Linked DNA regions of Callithrix jacchus. The protein of the gene in region 3 binds, or shares a complex with, the protein of the main gene of each other region. Links are inferred from orthologs where the notes say so. Each region holds a gene or a part of one and is shown on either strand. Other genes may lie near its edges.

What was found. Proteins that work in one complex are often made in the same cells at the same time.
Region 1: the proteins of CENPA (region 3) and NTMT1 are in contact, whole or in part, in a crystal structure (PDB 5CVD), measured with the Homo sapiens proteins. The link is inferred for Callithrix jacchus from reciprocal best matches to the Homo sapiens genes CENPA and NTMT1. Residues at the interface, in NP_001800.1 of Homo sapiens: Gly2, Pro3, Arg4, Arg5, Arg6, Ser7; in NP_001273725.1 of Homo sapiens: Tyr19, Trp20, Met30, Leu31, Gly32, Tyr34, Ile37, Trp136, Asn168, Ile175, Asp177, Asp180, Asp212, Glu213, Ile214, Tyr215.
Region 2: the proteins of CENPA (region 3) and HJURP are in contact, whole or in part, in a crystal structure (PDB 3R45), measured with the Homo sapiens proteins. The link is inferred for Callithrix jacchus from reciprocal best matches to the Homo sapiens genes CENPA and HJURP. Residues at the interface, in NP_001800.1 of Homo sapiens: Lys64, Leu65, Ser68, Arg69, Arg72, Asp83, Phe84, Asn85, Trp86, Gln87, Ala88, Gln89, Leu91, Leu92, Ala93, Glu96, Ala97, Ala100, Phe101, His104, Glu107, Asp108, Leu111, Leu112, Leu114, His115, Ile132, Glu136; in NP_060880.3 of Homo sapiens: Glu14, Asp15, Leu18, Lys21, Leu22, Ser25, Arg26, Arg28, Phe29, Arg32, Met33, Leu36, Lys39, Tyr40, Pro43, Phe44, Thr47, Pro48, Val49, Val50, Gln51, Met52, Ala53, Thr54, Leu55, Ile65, Trp66, Gly67.

The regions. Positions count from the first base shown.
Region 1 is NC_133502.1:178,211,837-178,217,305, reverse strand, and holds the start of NTMT1 (N-terminal Xaa-Pro-Lys N-methyltransferase 1), read right to left. Parts: upstream 3,090-5,469; 5' UTR 608-3,089; intron 1-607. UniProt on the Homo sapiens protein: Distributive alpha-N-methyltransferase that methylates the N-terminus of target proteins containing the N-terminal motif [Ala/Gly/Pro/Ser]-Pro-Lys when the initiator Met is cleaved.
Region 2 is NC_133507.1:155,108,156-155,113,536, forward strand, and holds the start of HJURP (Holliday junction recognition protein), read right to left. Parts: upstream 3,512-5,381; 5' UTR 3,434-3,511; coding exon 3,353-3,433; intron 2,920-3,352; coding exon 2,853-2,919; intron 1,687-2,852; coding exon 1,631-1,686; intron 1-1,630. UniProt on the Homo sapiens protein: Centromeric protein that plays a central role in the incorporation and maintenance of histone H3-like variant CENPA at centromeres.
Region 3 is NC_133515.1:88,211,665-88,217,133, forward strand, and holds the start of CENPA (histone H3-like centromeric protein A), read right to left. Parts: upstream 3,271-5,469; 5' UTR 3,100-3,270; coding exon 3,006-3,099; intron 1-3,005. UniProt on the Homo sapiens protein: Histone H3-like nucleosomal protein that is specifically found in centromeric nucleosomes. Replaces conventional H3 in the nucleosome core of centromeric chromatin that serves as an assembly site for the inner kinetochore.

The DNA of each region.
Region 1 (5,469 bases), on a different chromosome or scaffold from region 3:
AATGTCACCATGTAGCTGGGTTTGGTGGCTGCTTACGCGGCTATGGTCTGATGGGGTAAAGACCCAGGTCAAGTGGGCTGCCTGCCCCTCTGCCAGTAGGCACCGTAGCAACCATGTCACAGCCCTCCATCAGTCACCCAGAGAGGGCGGCATTCAAAACTACTCTCCAGCTGGGTGCAGTGGCTCATGCCTATAATCTGAGCACTTTGGGAGGCTGAGGTGGGAAGACTGCTTGAGCCCAGGAGTCCAGCCTGGACAACAGAGCGAGACACTGTCTCAAAAAACAAAAATGCTTGGTGGCTGGGAAAATTAAAGACAAAGATTAAAAAATGTAATACTACTCGTCCCCACCATGCTAGCACAATTCCCATTTAGACTGGAGTGTGGTGACACAGCAACCCCATCTCCCTCCCCCCGCCGCCAGTCCTGGCAAACTGAAGGTTTTGTATTCAATCCTATCTCCCGCCTGGCCTGGGAGCTCCTAGAGAGCAGTGGCAACATTGAGATTTATCATCGTGCTGCTCCTGCTTCCCGCGAAACACAGATATTCGACAGAAAGTTCACTTCTGATCAGATGAACAGAATAAATCTGGGGCCAAACACTTACCAGGCTGTACTCTGCCTCCTCTCCCAGAATGCAAGCTTCCTGGTGGCTGAGACATTACCTTGTACACCATTAGCCCAGGGCCGGATACCAGGTGGGCATTTGCTCATTGGCTGCTGAATAATGAAAGAATGGGCTTTGTGCAGCTAAAGTCACTTTTCACTTCTAAGAAAATCCTACAGACAAAAGTCCAACCATTGGTTATACTGAAGGCTGTTACTGACAATGTAATTTTGTGCTTTACCAAAAGCCTTGTAACATGATTCCTTTAAATGTCAAGGTCCCCTGAATAATCAAATTTACAAGAATGCCACTGACACGAAAATTCTAGGAACAAGCCAGGGGAGGCACATCTAGGCCGGGAAATCGCTTGCCTGGCTTTGACATCTGCCCTAACAGCCGATTCATGAATAAATGTAATTCCTGAGGTCCTGGCTGCGTTCTGCCTCCTGGTGTCCAGATTGGAGTGGGGCAGGAGGAGTTCCCTAAGAGTCAGAGAGAACAGAGAAGGTCGGTGGGCTCACCGAAGGAGGTCCTGCTACACTCCAGCACAGTGAGAGGCCACGTGGCTGTGCGGCCTGGGAGGGGGCCAGGGGCACAGCCTGGCTTGGTGTGCACTCTAGGCTGGCTAAGAGAGGAAGAGAAACCCCTCACACCTGGTAGATGCCTGCTCAGCCAGTAAACGTGATCCTACATCCTTCACTGTCACCTGGCTGCTGCCGCCTCCTCCCTGCCAAGGTGTTCAGACCCAGGCAGCTGTCCAGCTACTGCATCTCTGCTCCCAGGACCCATGGAAGAAAATGGTGCTGAAACTGTCACCCGGATCATCTCATCTCATCGTCCTCATGTAAATCTCCAAGGAAAAGCCTGCCTGAAAGTTACCTACACCCTCCCGCAGCCTAGCAGACAGAGCCCATCCTCCCTGCATCTCTGTGGACAGCAGCCGGCCACAACGGCAGAGTGCTCTGAGAAAAAAGAAAGGGAGAAAGGGAGGGAAGAAGACAAAATAGGGGATATGTTTAAAAACCAGCAAAGCCTCTGATGGAGTCAGATGAACCAGATCTAAATCTCAGCTCTGCTCACTGGCTGTGTAAGCTCAGATAAGACGTTAAACCTCACCATTCCTCAGGTTAGCTGTAAGATGGGACTTCACAGAAAGGCTGTGATTAAAAGCACATATGAAAAGCTGAAACTGCTTTGCACAGTGCCAGGCACATATTCTCTCTTGAGCTTAGAAATCTCTGTCAAATGAGATTCTTGTCAACTCTGCCCACTGTGGGGAACCAATGTGAAAACTGCTTTAGAATGCCATAGAAACGGTACTGCTGGACACCCTAGGGGATTATTACTGGTATGCTGGGTGGCCAATTCAGCATACTCAAACAGCCCTGCAAATCAGCAGGAGGGGGAGTGAGCTTCCTCTGCCAGAAAGGACAGAACCCCCACAAATGATTTTTCAGGTGCTATCCTTGTGATCCTAGGGCTTCCAGCCTCCACCAAAACACTCCATGCATACTTCCAATCCCCCACAGTCCCCATGTTACAGAGAGAAAAACCAGCACACTAAAGGAAGTGATGTGTCTTTAAACATACAAACAGGAAGCCGAGAACAGAATTAAGGAGGGAATCCAGGCTCCTTATCCCAGACCTGATTCCTCCCAGAGGCTCATCCCATCTCACTGGCAATCATTCTACACACCACAACCACCGGTTCCACTGTTCCTCCCCGCTGTCAAGGCCTCTGACACGAGCTGTGGCAACACTTATAGTACAGAGGAAAAAGCAAAGTCTGGAGGGAGAGATCACACAGTTGGTGGGCAGCAAAGCCTGGGCTTTTCGATATGGCAGCCCCTCTGCAGACGGGCTGACCTTGGTCGCAAGGGCTCTTGGCGACAGCTGTCATTTGAGCTGCACCTGTGTCAGGCTGGCGCCGGGGCAGGACCCCAAGGTTAAATACGACAGCAGCTTCTATGCAACGGGCACTTAACTGTGCCAGGCTCTGAACTGGACATTTTACCGATTCCTCCCACCCATCCTCCAAATGGGCGCTCTCCAAATCCCTGTTTCTCGGAGGAGAAACGGGCTCAGAGAAAGGGATTTGCTGCGGTCTGGGGATCGGGGTGGGGGAGTGCCCTGCCAGGGCTTTGGGTGCCTCGACTTTCCTCCTGTACCGACTCATGTACCGCTCCGTAGTCTCTGCCCAGGTCCGGCCCGTGGACCTCTTGGGGACGCGCACGTGGGGCCCGGGCCGGCCCGCGCGCTCGCGCCGGGTCACGTGACGAGCCGGGGTCCTCGGGGCGCCGAAGCGGTTGGGATCGCGGCCTCCCAGCTCCCGGCGGCTGCTTCCCCTTCGCATCGCCTTGCGCTACTCACTACGGGCAGGGGCTCCCGGGACCGAGAGAAGAGGATGGGGAAGAGGAACGGAGGGCCGCTGCAGCGAAGACCCACAAGCCAACCGCAGCTCCGGCAGACCACGACCAGAAGTGACAGCTCGCGGCGCGCGCTGCCTTTGTCCGCTTACGTCACTTCTGGTCTCCCGGGGGCGGGACCACGACTGTCCCCACCCCCGTTCGGCTCGCCACGCCCCGTGGACTCCGATTTTTTTTTTTTTTTTTTTTGTGAGACGGAGTCTTGCTCTGTCACCCAGGCTGGAGTGCAGTGGCGCGATCTCGGGTCACTGCAACCTCCACCTCCCGGGTTCAAGCAATTCTGCCTCAGCTTCCCAAGTAGCTGGGACTACAGGCACTGGCCACCGCGCCCCGCTAAGTTTTGTATTTTTTTAGTAAAGACGGGGTTTCACCATGTTGGCCAGGCTGGTTTCGAACTCCTGACTTTGTGATCCGCCCACCTCGGCCTCCCAAAGTGCTGGGATTACAGGCGTGAGCCACCGCGCCCAGCCAACTTCTTTTTAAAAATAGTTTAACTTTTTTTTTTTTAGGCTGGAGTGCAGTGGTGTGATCTTGGCTCACTGCAGCCTCCACCTCCCAGGTTCCAACGATTCTCTTGCCTCAGTCTCCCAAGTAGCTGGGATTACAGGCATGCGCTACCACACACAGGTAATTTTTGTATTTTTAGTAGAGGTAGAGATGGGGTTTCACCATGTTGGGCAAGCTGGTCTTGAACTCCTAACTTCAAGTGATCCATCCGCCTCTACCTTCCAAAGTGCTGGGATTACAGGCATGAGCCACCGTGCCCAGCCTAACTTGACTTCTTCAAAAAAGAAGGAAAAAAATTGGCGATGGGGGGTCTCACCCTGTTGCCCAGGTTGATCTTGAACTCCTGACCTCAAGCGAGGCTTCCACCTTGGCCTCCCAGAGTGCTGGGATTACAGGTGTGAGCTACTGTGCCCAACACAGGTTACAGCTCAAAACTTGACTAACTTAACTTTGGAGAATCTGGAAGGACCTCCGGGACTGAAGAGAGCCACAGCATCGCCCTCTCCCCGACCTCAGCACGAACGAAATTCATTTGGAGGCTGCCGGCTGGACTTCTAAAAAGAGTGTTGTGCGTGTTTTGAGTAAAAGGAGAAAGAAAAGCCATTGGTCCTCAAATCCACCCATCTCCATTAGCATCTCAAAGTAATACCAACCCCCAAAAATAAATAAAATAAAAAGAAATACTCTTGGCAGTGCCATGGGATTCCCACCAGAAATAAGCAGAGCAAGCCCATGAACTTTCCATTCCAAAAGGGTGGCCCATCCCTAGGCTCCTCCCATACACAGAAATTCTGGAGCTATCTCTGAGGCAGCAGTGATGGAATCAGGAGCTTGCAGGTACGTAGACCCTGTTAACGTCTCAGAGCTTCAGTCTCCTGCCAGAAGAAGAAATTGAGCAATGTAATCATTACTCCACTTCTGATATTCTGAGGGTTAAACTTGTGGGGCATTGCTTGTCGGGCCTTCAGCTCAGCACCTGCAGTGGGTTCTCAAGAAATGGAGCTGTTATAAGGACAATATTCATCTTAAGTTTATATGACATCCTGGTGTTGGCAGCGTGCGGTGGCTCACGCCTGTAATCCCAGCACTTTGGGAGGCCGAGGTGGGCGGATCATGAGGTCAGGAGTTCCAGACCAACCTGGCCAATATGGTAAAACCCCATCTCTACTAAAAATACAAAAATTAGCTGGGCGTGGTGGCGGGCGCCTGTAGACCCAGCTACTCAGGAGGCTGAGGCAGAAGAACTGTTTGAACCGGGGAGGTGAAGGTTGCAGTGAGCCAAGATCGCACCACTGCACTCCAGCCTGGGCAACAAGAGCAAAACTCCATCTCAAATAATGATAATAATAATATCCTGGTGTTGGCTGGGTGCAGTGGCTCACGCCTGTAATCGTAGCACTTTGGGAGGCTGAGGTGGGCAGATCACCTGAGGTCAGAAGTTTGAGACCAGCCTGGCCAACGTGGCAAAAACGCATCTCTACTAAAAGTACAAAATTAGCCAGGCATGGTGGTGCAGGCCTGTAGTCCCAGCTACTTAGGAGGCTGAGGGAGGAGAATCACCTGAACCTGGGAGGTGGAGGTTGCAGTGAGCTGAGATCTCACCACTGCTCTCCAGCCTGGGCTACGAGAGTGAAACTCCGTCTCAATCAGTCAATCAGTCAATAAAATCCTGGTGTTAGATTTGCAATGCCTTCCTCTGGGCGTTGCACACAGAAGGTGCTTAAGGTGCGTTTGCTCTAAATGTAGTGAAAGCTACGGGAGGAAGGGGATGCCAGAAAGTCCCCTCTGCATCGAGTCCCCAGAATCTGTGTATGTGCATATTACTTGGCATCCGCTCTAGATTATTCTAGGGTCACAACTGCTACCCCTGGTCTGAGCCCCTCTCTCAGCTTCATTTTCTATGTCTATAAGCAAAGGGGATTGATCCTG
Region 2 (5,381 bases), on a different chromosome or scaffold from region 3:
CCCAAGCATGTGCTATAATCAAACTAGCACAGCTCAGTGCCTGGCCTGGTAGGGCCCACTGCCTCCCGCAGGCTCCAGGGCAGCAGGAACACCAAGTTGTCTGGGAAAAGGTGAAGGCGGATCCGGGCACTGTCACCAACAGCAATTACAGTGAAGTCAGAGATATTCCTGCTGGAATCTCAGACTACACCCAGTTTCCGCCTAATCCCAAGAAAGGGTCTGAAGATTCTGAAGATCCAGGTAGGGGTCCTCCTACATTTTAAGCAAAAACCTAAATAAATCTTCAAATGATGAGTGGACATCTCTATTATGTATAATTAAAACAGCATATATCCTTTAATCCTACTTCTCAGCATCTACTGAAAATGGTGCATATCAGTACTGGGAGAAGATAAGGACCAGGATTTTCTCTGAGAACCATTTCTAACAGGGGCTTTATAAGTAAAGTTTTATTGGAACACAGCCATGTATACTCATTCACATATTTTTTCGGTCACTATCCCCCTACAACACAGAACTGAGTAGTCATAACAGAGACCATATAGCCAGCAAAGCCTAAAATATGTACCATCTGGCCCTTTGTGGAAAAAGTGTGCCAACTCTTATTTATAATAAAGGAAGCCACAAATAGTGAATTGCCTATCAATAGATCAGTTAAAAAAGCATAGTTTAAAAAATAATTATATAATTTTACAATTATACAATAGTTGATGAAGAGTTCTCCATATATATTAACTGGAAAAGTGAGATAAAAAAATGCATTTATAAAAATGTTATAGGAAATCACATTGTACTAAAATAGCACGAGTGACCATCTTTGCATAGATAAATCAGCTCATTTATGGAGTTGGATGTACTTTTAACATTTCTATCACTAGAATAATTAATAAAGAAGATTTGACTTCCAATTTGTTGTTAATATTACGTCACCTTAACCTTGATGTTTTCATTCTTGGGTACAGGTTCCTTGACCTGTGACCACAGGGAGGAACCATGTGGCATCTGAGAGGCAGTGATTAATCGAATGCCAGACAACCTTGCAAAAGGGCTCCTGGGTGTCCCTGCAGGTGCCAACAGCACCTTCCCCTAAAATAATGGGTCTCAGAGCTGCAACACCTTCAGATCAACTAGGTGGGGAAACTCAGGTCTTTGGAAGGTAGAAAAACGCAGAGGGAAAGATGTGTGATCCTCCACACCGCACCTCCCTTGTCTCTCTTCCTCCGCTTTCAAAAGAGGAAGGGAGGCATTTTTTTTTCTCTAGAAGGAACTGGATTTGGTCTTTTCTGTAAGGTCTCAACAGAGTGAGCCCCTCGCTGGGATGGCACCGTGGCCAGCTGGGGCTGGCCCAGCCCCTGCACGCGTGTTATCAGAGCCCCTCAGCCTGTGACACAGGAAACACAGGGTGACAAAAAAGGCCAAACATTACACAGTGCCTCCTTGCACTGGACAAGCAACAGCAAAAACGCTTCTAAGTAAATCCTTAAAAACAGAAAGAGTGTAGTCAAGATGAGAAAAAGTGCTCCCTGGTGGCCTCTCCATAGCCTCCAAGGTTGGGTACACCCACACCTGTATCCACATCAAGCCCCCTCCACAGCAAGGTTATTTGGCAATAAAATTTCACGTTTGCTACCTGGATCTCTCCTTCATTTCTTTCCTTTATTAGTCTTCCACCCCAAATTCTCAATCCTGAAGAAAAGAAAGAAAAACGACCATTTAAATAATCCTGAATGCTGAATTTCTGCTCAGTCTGTATTCACCTGAAGCCACAGTGACAGGCGAATAAAAAGGTACAATATTAAAACCAAGCCATTTCTGATACCCTGCTGTTGTTCATCTTGGTAAAGTTTCAGGTTGTTAAGGCAAATTTGTCATTCATGGAAATCTCCCACCTACTAGGCAGTGGCTTATTAAATTATATCATTAGCCCAAAAAGTCAAATGTAAACAAGGAACATATATATGACAATGACTGTCCCTAAAATATATAGAGAGGGCAATCTACATACCATATATAGAGTTAGCACTTTTTGCAGGCAATCTCTATATCCGATATACAGAGTGAATGCTTTCTAAGGGCAATTTACACGTTACACAGAGAACTGCCACTGGAATATTTTAGTTTCTGCCTGTGTAAACTTTTCACCCCAGGTGTGCCTGGATTGGCTATAAAGGCAGAAAGGTAGGATTTCTTTTAATTCAAGGAGCAGATCTTGTGAACCTTTTGTGCCTGTTTACTACAACATAGAACTTGCTCTGAGGTTTGTTTTCATTAAGTTGTAATGAGCTAGTTATAAAGCTATATGGGAAGAATTGACCCCAGGCAGTGCAAAGCGTCACCGGCTAATTTACCAAAAAGAACCCATACGATTTCAGTCTGATTTAACGGACTGCCTTCTTCTCCCTGTTCAAGTACTTGGAGCTTCGTGGAAGACAGTTGCTACTCCAAGCTAAACAGGGCAAACAAGTCATGTGAGTGTCCTGTTCCCAGAGTTGCAGAGTAACTGTCACAACACCCACACCTAGGAGATGTTACTGTCGTCATCCTTCCCATTTCACAGATGAGGACACTGAGACCAGTCCAGCTAAGCAACTGGCCCAAGCTACCACGGTGGGGAGGTGGCCAGCGGGGATGCCAACCCGGCAAGGCAGAGGCATGTGAACCAGGAGGCAGGCACCTGTCTTTTCAGGAATTGCTTTAATAAGTAATTCAATTAATTCGCAGGTTTAAGGGCACCGATGTTTTGGTTCCTATTAAGTGAACAATGTCTACTTCATAATAGAGCAGGGAAAGGATTTCAACTACTCCATTCACACTCTTCACCCGAACACTCAGAAGGGGAGGATGATCCTTACCTTGGGGCGTCTCGTAGGTCAGCGTGGCCATTTGCACCACCGGGGCGTCCTCGAAGGGCTGGTCGTACTGCGAGGGAGAAAAGGGCTTCCTGTCAGGTCCCAGGGCCACGAGGAGCCCCAGACCCTGGCAGAGGCGGCGCCAGCCCGCGAGAGGCTGTTAGTCTGGTCTGGGGCGCCCCAAACACAGTCTCTACAGCGGAGCCCCCAACCCCGCCTCGCTCGTCCCTCTCAAGATCCCCCAGCCCCACCAAGCCCTTTTCTCTGCACCCGAGCCCCAGTCCCGCTTTCCCATTCCCGGCTCCGGAGGCCCTCTCCTCCCCCTCCGAAGCCTTCGGCAGTGCCTCCTTCTTCCCTCCCAGAGCCCCCAGCTCCGCCTCCCTCTTCTCTCCGCTTCCCCACTCCGAGCCCCCAAAGCCCCCTCCCCTTCCCGTTCTGCGTCCCCTCCTAGACTCAGTCCGCCCCGAGGGCCTCCCCTCCTGGCGGACCCTCGGGGGCCCCACCTTCTCTAACAGCCGCTGCATGCGCCTCTGGAAGCGGCGGCGACTGGCTCTGAGCTTCTGCAACAGCGGCTCGTCTTCCATGCCCTCGTCCTCCAAGGAGCACAGCGGACCGAGCAGCTGACCCGGGAGCCTACCCAACACCGACCTCAGCGCCGACCCGGACTCCGGGGCCTAGAGCGCCGCAACTCAAATAGGCGACTCCGCCCTTCCTGCCTTCCTCTTGGTTTTCTATTGGCTAACGCGGAGAAGCGGGGCGCTGATTGGGCCTTTCAAACAAATTTGCGTCGCTCCTCCCGGCCAATCCGCGCCCGAGCGTCCAGCCACGCCTCAAGGAGCCAGTCGGGCGGAAAGGAGGGGAGGGTCTCCCGCCGCGCGGCAGGTTGTGGTTTCCCGCACAGCTGTTGAGCTTATTAATCCTCGGTGCAACGCGAGATCCGGTGGGATTCATGTTCGGCCTGGAGATGTCTGCGTGACTTGCTGTGGCGGTCGCCGCCGGGCGGGGGCCATCTTCCTCACCCTCCCGCCTGGGATCCCGGCGGGGTTTCGAGGGCAGGGGCCTACTCCAAATTACCAACCCGGAAGGAGGTAGGATGGTGAATATTCATCTAGAAGAAAATAAGTCTCAACGAATGAGACATTTAAAGACGCTGACAAATGCGATACACATCACAAAATCCAGGAAAATACTTTTATTAACCCACCTTTCCCCCCTATGTATTTCTGATTGCATACTCTGCTTCTTCATTGATATTAATCTTGTAATATTTTCTCCAGAAAGAAGAGCAAGATAAATCAGTCTTTAGTATGGTTGATGGAATTTGTGATTGACACCTTAGGAAAGTTTTATTCAGCTTCATCACTTAACCACGTTTGTGTGCTTGGGCTGACTTGATTACTATAGTCTGTGATGGAAAATAATTTAGCAGCCGGGCGCGGTGGCTCAAGCCTGTAATCCCAGCGCTTTGGGAGGCCAAGGCGGGTGAATCACGAGGTCAAGAGATCGAGACCATCCTGGTCAACATGGTGAAACCCCGTCTCTACTAAAAATACAAAAAATTAGCTGGGCATGGTGGCGTGTGCCTGTAATCCCAGCTACTCAGGAGGCTGAGGCAGGAGAATTGCCAGAACCCAGGAGGCGGAGGTTGCGGTGAGCCGAGATCGCGCCATGGCACTTCCAGCCTGGGTAACAAGAGCGAACCTCGTCTCAAAAAAAAAAAAAAAAAAAAAGAAAAGAAAAGAAAATAATTTAGCATTGCAGAGCACCAGGAGGTCCGTTAGAGGGGGCTCTTCACCCCCTTTCAGCCTGCACGGCAATTCTATCACGAAGTCCCGCAGAAATTTAGGTGGGGGTCGGAGGAGAATGAGAACTTCGGGGCTCATGAAGTGTGTGTGTCTACAAAATGTGTTGCGTTGTGCTGGATACAGAGATGTGCTGGCCTGATTTCCCTCAAGATGCCACAGCTGCTGGGAAGGCAGTTGGCAGGGGCCGTCAGTTGTCAGCCTCTTCCGGGATGATCCAGTTGCAGAGAGCTCTCACCCAAGGTCCTGCTGCCCAGGGCGGCCCAGCGCCAGTGACTGATCCAGGTGGGAACAGGAATTTTGTGCCATTTCAGTCTGTTGGAAGAAAACCCTGGGCTTGGAAGATAATTCCGAGCTCTTGAGTCCTGGAAATTGGACAGGGTAACCTATCCAGTCCTGTTTCTTTCCATCTCTTCCTCCCTTATAAACATCCTCTTTGAGTTGGCCCCAGTTGCAGGATCTACACATTTAATTTGTAGTTTTTGCAGTTTTCACAAGGAGGTGTCTTCCTCCTCCTTCCTTGGGAAAGTTCAGAAACTTAACATGCTCTTCCTTTGACTCTGGGTTTCCGTACATAACTTACTTTCCAAACGTCTAACTGGGCACATTTAGAGACTTGAGACCTTGAATAAAATTTCCTTTTTTCTTCTTGAGTTTTGGACGATTTACTCTTCCATTGTTACTGGATAGAGTTGTCCAGCTCTTGGTGCGTTACCAAAGAATCGAACAA
Region 3 (5,469 bases):
TTGAAATGGGGAAATTGAGGATGAAGGGGCTGGAGGAGAGTAACCAGAAGTTCAGTTTGGGGTGTGCTAAGTTTAACATAACCAAGAGCATTCAGGTAGAAAGGCAGTTAGATATAGGTATCTGGGGTCAGAGGAGAGATCCAGGTATTTGTAAACTTGAGAGCTGTCAAGTAGGAGTGGTATTTAGAGCCACAAAGGAGATGAGATCATCTAGAGAGGGGGTAGAAAGGAAAAGGATGTCAAGGAAGTCCAATGTCAAGGAGCTGGAGGGAGGCAGCATAGGCAGTGAAGAAGGATAAGCAGAACTGCCAGAGTCCACAGTGGCATGGAAGCTTAGGGAATAGCACGCTTCAAGGAGAAAGAGGCCCACTGTGTCAGATGCTTCCGGGACACAGTAAGAACACAGACCTGCCTACTGGATTTGGCAATACAAAAGGTGCTGATGACCCTGACAGGTGTAGTTCAAGGGGTAGTGGTTGTGGGGAGTCAGATTGGAGTAGGTTGTAGGGTCACTAGGATGGAAGGAATCAGACACAACATATGTAGACCTAACTAAGTCTGGCTATTTTAAAACGATGGCTATGAAGGGGGAGTAGAGAGAAATGGGAGGTATAGGGAGGTGAGAATGTGGGGTCAAGGAAACACTCCTGTACTTTCTCTTAACATCATAAATACTAGAGCACATTTGCCAATGCTAATGTGAAGTGTCTGGATTTATCTAAGCACAGGTAGAAAGGACAACAGAAAGCTCCTTGTAGGTGAAAGAAGGATATGACCAAGAGCCCATGTAGAAGGAGGGGTGGCTTTGATAGGAAGGGGAACTTAGTCAAGGCCATCATTAGCTAAGAGTGAGTGGGGGGAATGGAGCTGTAGGAAGTCATGGAGGGAGGAAAAGGTATGAAATAGTCATGAGGGCCAGGCGTGGTGGCTCACACCTATAATCCCAGCACTTTGGGAGGCTGAGGCAGGCAGATCATGAGGTCAAGAGATCAAGACCATCCTGGTCAATATGGTGAAACCCCGCTCTACTAAAAATAAAATATTAGCTGGGCATGGTGGCACACACCTGTAGTCCCAGCTACTTGGGAGGCTAAGGCAGGAGAATCACTTGAACCCAGGAGGCGGAGGTTGTAGTGAGCCGAGATCATGCCACTGACTCCAGCCTGGTGATACAGCAAGACTCCGTCTCAAAAAAAAGAAAAGAAAAGAAAAGAAAATAAAAGAAATAGTCATGGGGAGAATGAAAAAGCAAGAATTCCAGACAAAGGCCAGGCAAGATGGCTCATTCTTGTAATCCCATCATTCTGGAAGGCCAAGGCGGGAGAACCACTTTAGGCCAGGAGTTCAAGACCATGCTGGGCAATATTTTTGTAGAGTCAAAACATTTTGAAGCCGGAGGATCACATGAGCCCAAGAGGTCAAGGCTGCAATTAGCCAAGATAGCACCACTGCACTCCAGCCCGGATGACAAAGTGAGACTCTGTCTCTAAAATTAGAGAATACCAGACAAAGCAGGTAGGACTACCAAGAAGTGTTGAGAGCCCATTTGAGAGAAACCTTCCATTTAACCAGGAATAGAAGGATGTTTCTACCTTGGAAAGGAACAGCAAACATCACACTTAATATTCCTGTTAAAATTACAAATGAGACAAAGATGGCCAAAACACTGCTCTTGGCGAATCTCAGGGCCTTACTAATACCATACAGTAAGAAATAAAATGTGTAGAAACGAAAACGGAAGACTCAAAAGTTATCTGCAGGTGACATATAGTCGACTTAAAAATTCCAACTGAAGCAACTAAAAGACTATTAGGATGCATGAGAATTCGGCAAGTCGGCTGGATGCAAAGGTTAAATACTCATGTTTTGGAAAAGAAAAAACATCCCATTCACGACAGCAACATCTAGAAAAACCTACTCTAGCCTAGGCAATATGGCAAAACCCCATCTCTACTAAAACTACAAAAAATTAGCCAGGCGTGGTGGTACATGCCAGTAGTCCCAGCTACTCAGGAGGCTGAGGTGGGAGAATCACTGAGCCTGGGAAATTGAGGCTGTAGTGAGCCCTGATGGCATCACAGCACTCCAGCCTGGGCGATGGGTCTCAAAAAAACACAAAAAACACAAAAAGCCTATAGGCGCAGTGGCTCATGCCTGTAATCCCAGCACTTTGGAAGGCCCAGGCAGGAGGATCACTTATTTGACACCAGTCCGGACAACACAGGGAGACCCAGTCTCTAAAAAAAACAAACAAATTTACAATACACTTTCCCCATCTTGTTCATGGCTATGTAGCAAGAGTTTAGAGATAAGTAAAGCAGCTATTGCCACGCGTACCATACAGGCATCTGCGTCCTCCTGCCCCTGTTTCCCATCCACCAGCCCACCATACAGACAGTGAAGACACAGACTTCGGCCCCTCTTTGCCGGACATAAGCTCTGGAAGGTAACAGAGTGAGCATCGCAGAGGGCCTCGGTTCAAGGTCTAAACAGTCTCTCCCGGAAGGGAAAAAAACCTGAAAGACGCCTCCTAAGAGGACTGCAGTTTGAAATCGTCACTGAAAGCAGTCAATACTTTTGCAATTTTAAAAAAGCACAGACACAGAGGATTGGAAATCCCGTGTCCGCCAGAACAAGTTATGTGACTCTGCTCAAGCTCCCTGGCCTGTCTGTGCCTCGGCTTTTTCATTAGCTATAAAACGCGTACGACCTGAAGCTGAGATAACGCACGAACAGTAGGGACGCAATGCCTGGTTGGCGGTGGGCGCTGGGTAACCGCTAGTCCTAACAAGCAGGCGGCGTTAGGAGCTGGTCCCTTCCCGCTTCGAACCGCCTGCTCCAGTCCCTCGCAGGGCTGACACCGCTCGTGCCCGGGGCGGATGCCGGACAGCGGAACCGTGTTGTCCCCCAGCAGGGGAAGGTCACGCGACCGGGACTCGGGAGATCCGGGCTCCGCCTGCGAGCCTCGGTTTTCTCCTCTACGAGACAGGGCCGCAGCCGGTTACCTAAGGAGGGGCCCCGCCGGGAGGGGCTGGGGGTCGGGCTCGCGCTGCGCCTCCTCGGGGCCTCGGGCTTGCGGCTCCGGCGGCGCGGGCCCATGGCGCGCCGCGGAGAGTGCTGGCGCCCGGCCCCACGGCTCCTGCTTGGGCTGCCGGGTCCAGGGACAAAAGGCTGGCGTCTGGGTAGGCTCGGAGAGCCCTGGACCGCGAGCCTTAGAGGAGCCGGTGCTTAACCACGTTCCGCGCCGCTCGCGTTCAAATCGCTCGCTCCGCCCACTTCACCGCCCGCGTTTTTTAAAACCCGAATCCAGCGACTCTCAGTGGCTGACTCTGGAACGCCCCTTACGTAGAGCGACTGCGGATAGGACCAATGAGAGTACTGGCCGAGACACAAACGGCGGCGGTGATAGCAGGCCAGCGGGGACTAATGGTGAAATCAGCCAATAGGCACTTAAAGAAGTGAGATGGGGCGGGGAATTCTCCTGCTCTCTGCTTGCTGATCTGGGTGCTGGCCTTTGCAGGACTGTACTGATGTCCTCAGGTGCCCTTCGGTCAAAACACCGATGCTCAGTTTGGAACGTGGATGGTGCGTTTGCAGAACGTGCTTCTCTAGACAAGTCACTTTCCTCAAACATTTTATGTTTTGCCCTAGCAACCCAGACCCACCCCATGTCGCGTCTGCGGCCCTCCGGGGAATTATCCACGTATATACTCAGAAGCCAGTTCAACTGCATGAACTTGGCTGATGCTTGGGGTCGCGGGGACGCCGGGATCGGAGGGGCTTTGAGGATGAGATCCGTGCAGGGCAGGCCTCGGCACTATAGCAACGCAATCGTCCCAGAAAAACCCTTTCTCCTCTTTGTTGGGGATAATAAAAATTCAAGTCATGTTCCTGTATGTGGAATAAGGGGAATTTAAATTTTCTAAATTTTCTTTCTTGAATTTTCTAAATGTTCTACAGTGAACGTGTACTGTCTGTAATCAGGAAAAACGTTAGTTATAAAATTAGTGATTTCATGGAAACCTGGTGCATTGCTGGTGGGAGTGTAAAATGCTGCGGCTGCTGTGAAAAACAGTATTAGTGGTTCCTCAAAAAATCAAAAATAGAATTACGAGATGATCCAGTAATTCCACTTCTGGCTAAATATCCAAAAGAATTTAAATACAGCCAGGGACTTGAACAGATATTCCCACACCCATGTTGATAGCAGCATTCTTCACAACAGCCCAAAGGCAGAAACAGCCTTAAAAAGGAAGGGAATTCAGGAGGCTGAGGCAGGAGAATTGCCTGAACCCAGGAGGCGGAGGTTGCGGTGAGCCGAGATTGCGCCATTGCACTCCAGCCTGGGTAACAAGAGCGAAACTCCGTCTCAAAAAAAAAAAAAAAAAAAAAAAAGGAAGGGAATTCCGACGGGTGCTGCAACATAGATGAACCTTGAGGACATTATGCTAAGTTTAAGGCAGTCACCAAAGGACAAATGCTGGGCCCGGGTGCGATGGCTCACACCTGTAATCCCAACACTTTGGGAGGCCAAGGCGGATCACCCGAGGTCAGGAGTTCAAGACCAGCTTGGTCAACATGGTGAAACCCTGTCTCTATGAAATATATAAAAATTAACCCAGCTTGGTGGCAGGCGCCTGTAATCTCAGCTGCTCGGGAGGCTGAGGCAGGAGAATCGCTTGAACCCAGGAGGGGGAGGTTGTAGTGAGCTGAGATCATGCCATTGCCCTCCAGCCTGGGTGCCATCTCAAAAAAAAAAAAGAAAAAAAATCCCAAGTAGGGGATGTGTGCCTCTTGCCCCAGCTACTCAGGAGGCTGAGGTGGGAGGATGCTTGAGCCCAGGAAGTTGAGGCTGAACTGAGCCATGATTGTGCTGCTGCACTCCAGTCTGGGCAACACAGTGAGACCCTGTCTTAAAAAAAAAAAAAAAAAAAAAAAAAGGACAAATACTGTATGAGGTACTTGGAATAATCAAACTCATAGAGACAGAAAGTAAAATGGTGGTTGCCAGTGAATGGGGGTTTGGGGGAGGAATGGGGAGTTAGTATTTCATAGGTGCAGAGTTTTAGTTTGAGAAGATGAAAAATTCTGGACATGGATGGTGGTGATGGTTATACAGCACTGTGAATGCACTTAAAGCCTGAACTGTACACTTAAAACTGGCCAGTGGTAAATTCTATGTTGTGTGTCTGTGTGTGTGTATATATATAAATATAAATAAATAAATATATATATTTCCCCCACACAGGGTCTTGTACTGTTGCTTAGGCTTGAGTGTGGTGGTGCAATCACAGCTCACTGCAGCCTTGAACTGCTGGACTCACACAGTCCTCTCACTTTAGCCTCCTGAGTAGCTGGGACTAACAGGAATGCACCATCACACATGGCTAATTTTTTTTTTTAATGGGGCTTTCTGGCAAAAACTGGAAAGCCTGCTAGACAAATTCTAAAAAGAGCTATAACCATACT